Linked DNA regions of Schizosaccharomyces pombe. Changing the gene in region 1 together with any one later gene gives a genetic interaction. Each region holds a gene or a part of one and is shown in the gene's direction. Other genes may lie near its edges.

Region 1 (4,306 bases):
ACACTGAAAAAAGGAGTAGCGCAATGTGATGGCGTTATTCACACGGCTTTCGTTCACGACTTTAGTATATATCAAGAGGCCTGTAAGCTTGACGCTCGTGTCATTGAAGCTATCGGCGAAGTCCTTAGAGGAACTGAGCGTCCTTTGATTACCACTTCTGTAACCGCTGTGCTTTCTTCCAACGGTAAGTTAGGCACCGAGATAAGTGAAGTTCCCCAACCACCAATTCCACGCCAATTAGGAGAGGTGACAACTCTTAAATTTGCATCTCAAGGAGTACGTGCTTCAATCCTTCGCCTTCCACCTACCGTTCATGGAGCAGGAGATCACGCATTTGTGCCCATGCTCATTAACGTGGCCAAAAATAAAGGTGTTTCTGCTTATATCGGTAATGGTATGAATTGTTGGCCTGCCGTTCATAGAACTGATGCTGCTAATTTGTTTGTATTAGCTCTAGAAAAAGAAACTGCTGGTTCCATTTATCATGCTGTTGCCGAAGAAGGTATTCCGATCAAAGAAATCGCAGGCATGATTGGCAAACGACTTGATATACCTGTCATCTCCGTATCTTCTGAAGAAGCCACCGAACATTTTGGATTTCTTTCCAGCTTTTTGTCTGTTGATAATCCAACTTCAAGTATTCTTACGCAGCAACGTTTAGGTTGGAAGCCTACGCATTCTACACTAATGACTGATTTGGCCAGTGATGCGTACTTTTAAGCTCAGATGGAAGAATAATGTCAACTCAATAATGATTGCTAAGTTCATTCGAAAGGAGGAGTTTGTGCCTTTATGCTTTTGTCAATATTGGAGCATTTTTGCTTGCAAAATATATTACTATATTTGTAGACAGAAGTCCTATATTGATTGATTGTTTAAACATCAATTTAGAGAATATGCTAATATTTGTGTTGGAGTTGCTTTACGTTTTGATTTGATTTTGGTTTATAGATGAATTATTATCCATTTGAAACATTACAGACGCGTGAATATACTAGGCCACTAATAAACTCTAGCCAAAAATGCGAGTTTCTCACTTTTTTTTTGAAAATTGTAAATCTTGCTCTTTTTGTTCGCTTTGCAAAATCCCACTTTTGATACTAATGGTGTTGTGTTGGCTATAAACGTGATTTGACAAATATTGATGACAATGAACCTTCAAATCCACAAAGTACAGTGAAAATTATAGTTGTCACTATGAGATAGGAAATTAATAGGAAAAGAAGCTCTGTAGTACCGAACTAACGTAAAACCCTTCGACCTCAAATACAGTGGTCGGACAGAAACTGCTGTTTTCGTCTAGTGTGCTCGTAGGCATAATATTGTTTATTAGAATTACTTTATTTGCTTTTTTTTATATATTTAAAAAGGTTATAGTAAAACGTTCTTCTGTAATTTCAAATTACGATTACCGACCTGTGGGAGGGCAATCTTTGTAATTGCTTCAAAAAGCTTTTGATTTATGAAAAACTATTTATCCTTTTTCCAAAAGGGACCAATTTAAATGCGAATTCTTGGGTGTTAGTTTTACAATAAGCAACAATAATATAAATTTTGAATGGAATGCTTTTAATTTGAGGTAACATTACTTAAAGACTAATCGTATGGATTAAATTAAGTCTGTTAACATCCTAGTCTTAATTTTATATAGAATGGTAAAACCAGAAAAGTAAAATCCTATAGAGAAACGAGCCCAGCCGATAGCAAACCAAGACATCTACCCTAAATCAGGATCGTTTTGGAAATTGATAGAGTTGCAATGTAGATTTAGATTGCAAGTGTTTCTCGTACATATTACTCAATGGAGACGTCCACCTTCGGCTTCGTGAATCAACTTCGTTCTCTATATTCTGAAGGATTTCATTCTCTTCAAAAAACCTTAAATAAATCCAAAATAATTAGCGAGCTTTTCTTTTCAGTGATGCTTCAGCATAATGGTTAATGTTTTGGCCGTACCTCTTTAAGTATGTATATTTGTTTAAATTCAAAACGATCAACATTGGTGATTTTTAAAACTTAGAAAGATCAATTGGAGGTTTTCGTCCATTGACAAACGAAATTGGCTTTGCAATTTTGGTTACGCCTCTGTTTATGATAATTTTATACCTTTGAGCTAAAGACCTCTTTATGCTTATTTTGTTTTCACTTAGGTTCATACGTATAAAATCTTTAAGATTAATTGCCGAAAATCGTTAGCGAAAGAGTCAATTGGTCCTTGCAACGTCGATTGTCCTTCTCTCATTTCTTCCATGAGGCGATCTTGTCCTTCTCTAATTTTTTATTTGATTTCCTTTTTGTTCTACAGCCATACAGATAATATTTATTTTAAATTAAATATTTCTATATGTCCAATGGAGAATTTATAGACCAGTATTTGCTTCGTAAGTAAATTAAACGTGCAGTCCGTTGGTTGCTCTGAAAGCTAATGCTAAAACTAGCTGAAAGTGGAGCTATACTTCAAGATTATCTAGATGATTATTTTTACACTTCTTGGTATACAGGAAACCGGAATTTAATTCAGTTAGACCACTATGGATTCCCCACTGCATCAAATTTTGAATTGAACCCAAAAAGCACCGATAATTGTGGGACAGTGGATTTTCAAGGAATTCCCTGGGGAAATAAAGCAATTGGTAAACGGAAAAACTTTCGTCTTTATCGATTACACACTTATAGCCTGTCTTGCAATCATTCAGACTGGTCACCCGAAGAGCTATCGCTAGATACTGTACAAGTCGCCGCTGAAGACTCGTTTTATGAATTTCAAAGATTTTTGAAAAATCCTAATTGCTTGCGGAATCATCACCATCTTTGCAAAAGCGTAAAGGTGGTTGGTGAGCATTCTGTCATTTATGTGAGCAATAACAGCATCAGAATGGAAAACACATTGCATGATAATTCTGTTCAAATCATTGACCTTAAGAATAATATCCTTCAGAAAAAAGCGATATCATGTTTGGATACTACAAATGCCGTAGGATGTCTGGGAACATTGTATGGACAATATTGTATTTTCAATTTTAAAAACGGAAGTTTTAGTACTCGTAAGCTTTCAGATGATTCGATTAATCATATTCAACTTTTTTCCGAAAAAAAATTCATCCTTGGCTGTAATGATGGTGCTGTTTATGTGGAAGATGTCCAGCGTACTAGCCCCATTCTTGTTTACAGGTGTTCAAATGCTGTTAACTGCGTCCAACTTTTTGATGAAACTCCATTAGCGCTTGTATGCACGGATTCGAAAGACGCCATGTTAATAGATATTAGATCAAATTCCGTTTCAGCCAAACTTCCCCATTCCGACTCTGTACTTACTGGTTCGTGGCATCCAAATGGAAATATTTTGGCTACTGGAGGACAAGATACAACGGCTAAAGTTTGGGACATACGTGCCCTTGGTAAGTCGTTTCGAAATCTAGGTAGCCAAATGAGTGCTGTGACGAATTTGTGCTTTTCTCCATTAGGTGAAAGCTTAGCTGTCACGGAACAAGCCGATTTTGTTCAACTTTTTGATACTAAATTATTTAATACATCCCAAGTTATTGACTTTTTTGGAGAAATCGCCGGAACCGCTTACTCATCTTCTGGCGACAGTTTATTTATTGGTGTAGACGATCCCATGTTGGGTGGCATTTTAGAATTTAGGAGACCTTTACAACATCCGCTATCTTTCATATTTTAATTCTTTAACTCATTGAGTCATTTAATCTTATAATAATAAATTCCTTGGTACCAAACAAAACTATTAATGAACGTTGAAAAAAATAATGAGATTTTTTGTAATAGTCAAATAATCATTTAGTTTATAGGAGAGCAAATAATATAGATGATAAGTATTGAGATATAAATAATACAAAAACAATAAAAATCTATATAGCATGAAATATTGATACTCTAAAGGGACATCACCAAATTTGTATTGAAGATTTAAAAAGGCATAATAAACAAACAACTATATTTTTCATGATAAAGATAACAAAAGAGTAAAAAAACACAAACATTACTTATGCTCTTCATTACGACATTTTGGGCATTCTCCAATTTCTTCGTCCATTTGATTTTCGGAGTTGCTAGTAGATTGCTGGCATCTTTCATGTACTGAATGACCGCATTCGAAGTGCACAAATCTATCATTAGGATCACAAATGCCTTGATCCTCAAGCTGACACTGAGGACGCGTTGAGCTAGGTCTGCTATACGGATGATGCCGATTTGATCGTCTAGCAATCGGAGCAGCCATTCGAGGAGTGCTAGTTCCCGACGAAACCTTGCTAGTATCACCGGCATCACTACCAACAACGTCCGA
Region 2 (4,235 bases), 520 kb from region 1:
ACAGTTGTTTGGGTAGAAAACGTTCGAGTAGTTAGTAGAAGGAAAAGTTTCATTCTTTTTATTCCCATCACTTTGAGAATTGAAGAGAAACCGCTTATTAGCATGCAAATTAGAGCTGAGACTAGAGTTACGGCGTTTAAGGCACTTTTCGCGATGCTCTGACGGCAGCTCACAACTCAAATGGGGCCGGTTAAGATCACAATGTAGATATAAAAGATTTTGCAAGTTTTCCAAATTTTCTTTATCAGATAAACATCGATTGTTAGTAAATATCATCGATTGCTGACTTCCCTTGCTATCAAATTGTAGACTAACACGACTAAGCTCCTCGGGAATTCTGGTCATTATATTATTTCCTTCCAGGAGATCTTTTTTAGTGGAACATGGAGAAAATCTCTCGACATTTGGCCGGGGAGAAGAGGAAACATCAATACTCGGTGATACCATAGTTGTCTCACCGAAAAATTCATTGGAATCTAAAACAGATAGGCTATCTTTTTTCTTCTCATTCATTTCAAGTAGTTTACAGACACTTAGTAGAAAAGTATTTGTCAAGTTCTTTTATGATGTTAGAGAACCTGGTTCAAGAATCGATACTGATGAATTTACTTAAAACAACTGCCCGTTGGGAAACATGTATATGAAATTATTTTGCAAATAGTTATCGTCTTAATGCATTAGAGCAATACTTTTTCTTGGTTTTTTTGAAGTTCAGCGAGATAGATCGTAAAGACCATAAACTCTTGGCAATGAATTTTAAATTCACTCTACGCAAGCGGAGGTGTAAGTAACACCAGAATAAGTAACAATTTTACTGTTGATTAAGAAAAGTTTTTATAGTTTATGGTAAATACGACTAAATCGCGACATAACAATAGTTCAATAAGAAAAGTTATATGACTTAGTTATGGCTCCTCAATATTATTTTTTTTTACATTATTTGCGATAGTGTTTTAATTGTATACCAGATATTAACCTCCTCAGCATTTTCAAATAAATTCTCTAAAGACAAAAACAATGAACACGTGAAGTATTCATATTATAAAATTGTCTTTTCCGTTGCGTTTTTGCAGCTAAAGAATGCAGACACAATAGTAGCTCGCGAATTTCATTACACGCCAATAAAGTTGGGAAAGAGATTACCCTCCCCTGTCATATTCTAAATGACACGGACACATATAATAATTTATTAATAAAATTTGAGCATGAGCGTAAAATGTAAAATGTCAGACTAAGATGGCGTTTCTAGTACATCATTTTCTTAGGCCGTTGAAAGAAATTTTTTGTCTCGTCAATGACATGCATCGGGTAATTTCGGCAGGCATTGGGCTATTATTCGACTTCTCTCCATTCAAAATTTGACTTAATCTCAGTATCCAAAGAAGCGTCAAATACGCTACCAAGATAAATAATTAAATTGTTATCCGTAAAAGTTCTTAGCATAGCAAACCGATAAACCGAGTGTAAACACGATATTAATTAATTAATATTATATCATATTTAATGAGCTGCAGAACATCATTTGCCGAAATGCACCGAGCCTCTTATATCTAGGATGATTTGTATGTACCAGATTACTTTCCCAAGAGATTATTAAATATATTTAATAGTATTAGGAGAAAATCAATATAACGTTGAGTCGAGCCAACGTATTTGTAAGTTAGGTATACAGGGATGTCATTAGGCTTACGTACACCGCGCAATTCAATTGCAAAAGGCCCAGGGGACCAAGAACTTCCTTATGATAAGAAAGCTAAAGCGATAAACAAAAATTAAATTACTTGGCTTGGAAATAATAATAATTTGCTTTGAAATGAATGATTGAACGCCCCGCGACCCCGGGACAGTATAAATTTTCCTGGGGTAGATCAAATTCACGCATTTAATTGGTTGAATTTATCAACTGACTTTTAAGTTCATTTTTAATTAAGTTATCAGCCAATGAATACAAAGCCGATAGCAAGGCAAGCAATGATTGGAGCGCAATAGTTGACTGTTTTGGCGCTAATTATTTCGGGTTTATGGTTAGAAATTTTCTGAAAAAATCAACGTTGAAAACTTACAGGCTTTCATGGTTAATTAGTGGCAAAACGCCACGGCTCTTAATCAAAAGATGGTGAAGTGCTTGAAAAAAGAAATGTATATAAAGCTGAGCTGATTTTTAGGGAAAAGCCGTGAGCTGAAATTAAACAATCAGAACCGCAAAAGGTAAAGACCATTATATTCTTTACCATCTTTCTTTTATTTTCTAGTATCAAGTTACTAGCATATCCTATCGTTTATAAAGTCAATCGTTAGATTCCTGTCAAATCTTTTAAATCTAAAAATGCTCTTTAACAACTTTCTTTGTTTTGCGGTTTCCGCCATTCCTTTGGTTTCAGCTATGCCTCTTGGTAATGCTCCCTATCACCATCACCATCATGCCGGTTTGAATGCTAGCAATATAACTGTTGGTGTCAATGTCACAAACACTACCGCTTTTTCAAAAAGAGACGGTGGTTTTCCTGACGGCGTATACGACTGCTCCTCTTTTCCTGATGATCAAAATGGCGTTGTCCGCCTTGATTACTTAGGTTTTGGAGGATGGTCTGGTGTTCAGAAGAATGATGGTAAATACGGAACAGCTTCTACATGCCAAGATAACACATACTGTTCCTATGCATGCAAGCCCGGAATGTCTAAGACCCAATGGCCGTCTGAGCAGCCTGACAATGGCGTTTCCGTTGGTGGTTTGTATTGCAAGAACGGTAAATTATATCTCACCCAGAAGGATAATTCTAATCTTTGTGAAGATGGAAAGGGTACTGCCTATGTTAAAAATACATTGAGTTCCAATGTCGCAATTTGCCGTACCGATTACCCCGGAACTGAGAACATGAATATCCCTACCAATATTGATGGTGGTTCAAAACAACCTCTTTCTGATGTTGATGAAGATTCATACTATAATTGGGGAGGAAAGAAGACATCCGCTCAATACTATGTTAATAAATCTGGCAGAAGTGCAGAAGATGTCTGTGTTTGGGGTAATGAGGGCGATGATTATGGCAATTGGGCTCCTATGAACTTCGGGTCTGGTTACACTGACGGCAAGACTTGGCTTTCTATGTCTTTCAATCCTTTATCATCTGCTAAACTTGATTACAATATCCGTATTAAATCTGATGGTGGGTCCCTTAGTGGTGATTGCTACTATGAAGACGGATCATTCCATGGTTCCACCGCTGACAGCAGTGGTTGTACAGTCTCTGTCACCGGAGGCAATGCCTACTTTGAGTTGTACTAAATTGCGTGTTAAAAGTGGATGCTTGGTCAAAAAAATTTGTTTATTAGAATTATTTTTGCATTCGTTTTACTTTTGTCATTCCCATTTTTATGCTTTATTTCGTTGTTGATTAGTTTTCGCATTTTTTTTCTGGTTTCATTTTTTTTATTTTTTTCATTTTTTTCATTTTTCTTCTGGATTCATTTTTTATTTTATTTTTGGGGTTCATCTTCTTCATTTCATTTTTTTGTCTATATTTCTTCTCTACATTTTGTTACATTTCTTAAAAACGCTCATTATTTATGCATTGCATCTACGAAAAAATAAATTTGTTTTTACTTAATTTTGTCCATCCTATCCAGTATCGTTAAAAATTTAAAAATTCCATGTATTGTTTTATTATAATGGTGCTGATAGTAGTAAAAAGCTGCAGAGTAACTAAATCTCACAGAATGCCTGGTAAACGACAACAGGTTCTGAAGTCGCAGAGATCGTTAATGGAAAATTTGCGGAAATAAAATAAACAAATCCAGGAGATATCGATGCTACATCTCCTTTGTCTCCATTCAATATGCCTGAACCCTCAGTAACAAGTAAAATGCTAGGGCCATTGATTCCGCGTATGCATTGTTTTTGACCAGGAGAAACCTTGGTTTGCAAAATGCTAAACTCTTCGATCGGGGGATCATATAACAGAGTTTTGCCAGATCCACAAGCTTTGGCAAATGGTACAGGTTGGGTAAGTTGGGATTTGGCATCCGCAGTCTGATAAGTGAGATTATTTACGAGAGTTTCTATGTCCTTAAACTTTGGCGTAAAGCCAAGACGGATAACGTTATCACTGGCAGCCATGCACTCAATTATATTTCCAGAAACATAAGCATGTGGATCTAAGGCACGAAGAAAAACGGCTTCTCCTGGATGTAATCGAACGTAGTTAAGAAAAGGAGTAACAAATAATCCGATGTCA

What was found.
Region 2: mutations in SPOM_SPBC2A9.03 (region 1) and psu2 together harm fitness more than expected from each alone (negative genetic interaction), as found in Schizosaccharomyces pombe (one large-scale study listed by BioGRID).

What each region holds. Positions count from the first base shown.
Region 1 is NC_003423.3:2,948,816-2,953,121, forward strand, and holds SPOM_SPBC2A9.03 (WD repeat-containing protein), read left to right. Parts: upstream 1-2,262; 5' UTR 2,263-2,344; coding exon 2,345-2,381; exon of another isoform or gene 2,382-2,438; coding exon 2,439-3,682; 3' UTR 3,683-3,741; downstream 3,742-4,306. Other genes in the region: SPOM_SPBC2A9.02 (NAD-dependent epimerase/dehydratase family protein), read left to right, coding at 1-720; san1 (RING finger protein), read right to left, coding at 4,001-4,306.
Region 2 is NC_003423.3:3,465,621-3,469,855, reverse strand, and holds psu2 (beta-glucosidase Psu2), read left to right. Parts: upstream 1-2,038; 5' UTR 2,039-2,326; coding exon 2,327-3,286; 3' UTR 3,287-3,586; downstream 3,587-4,235. Other genes in the region: cullin 1 adaptor protein Pop1, read right to left, coding at 1-513; mpi1 (mannose-6-phosphate isomerase), read right to left, coding at 3,704-4,235.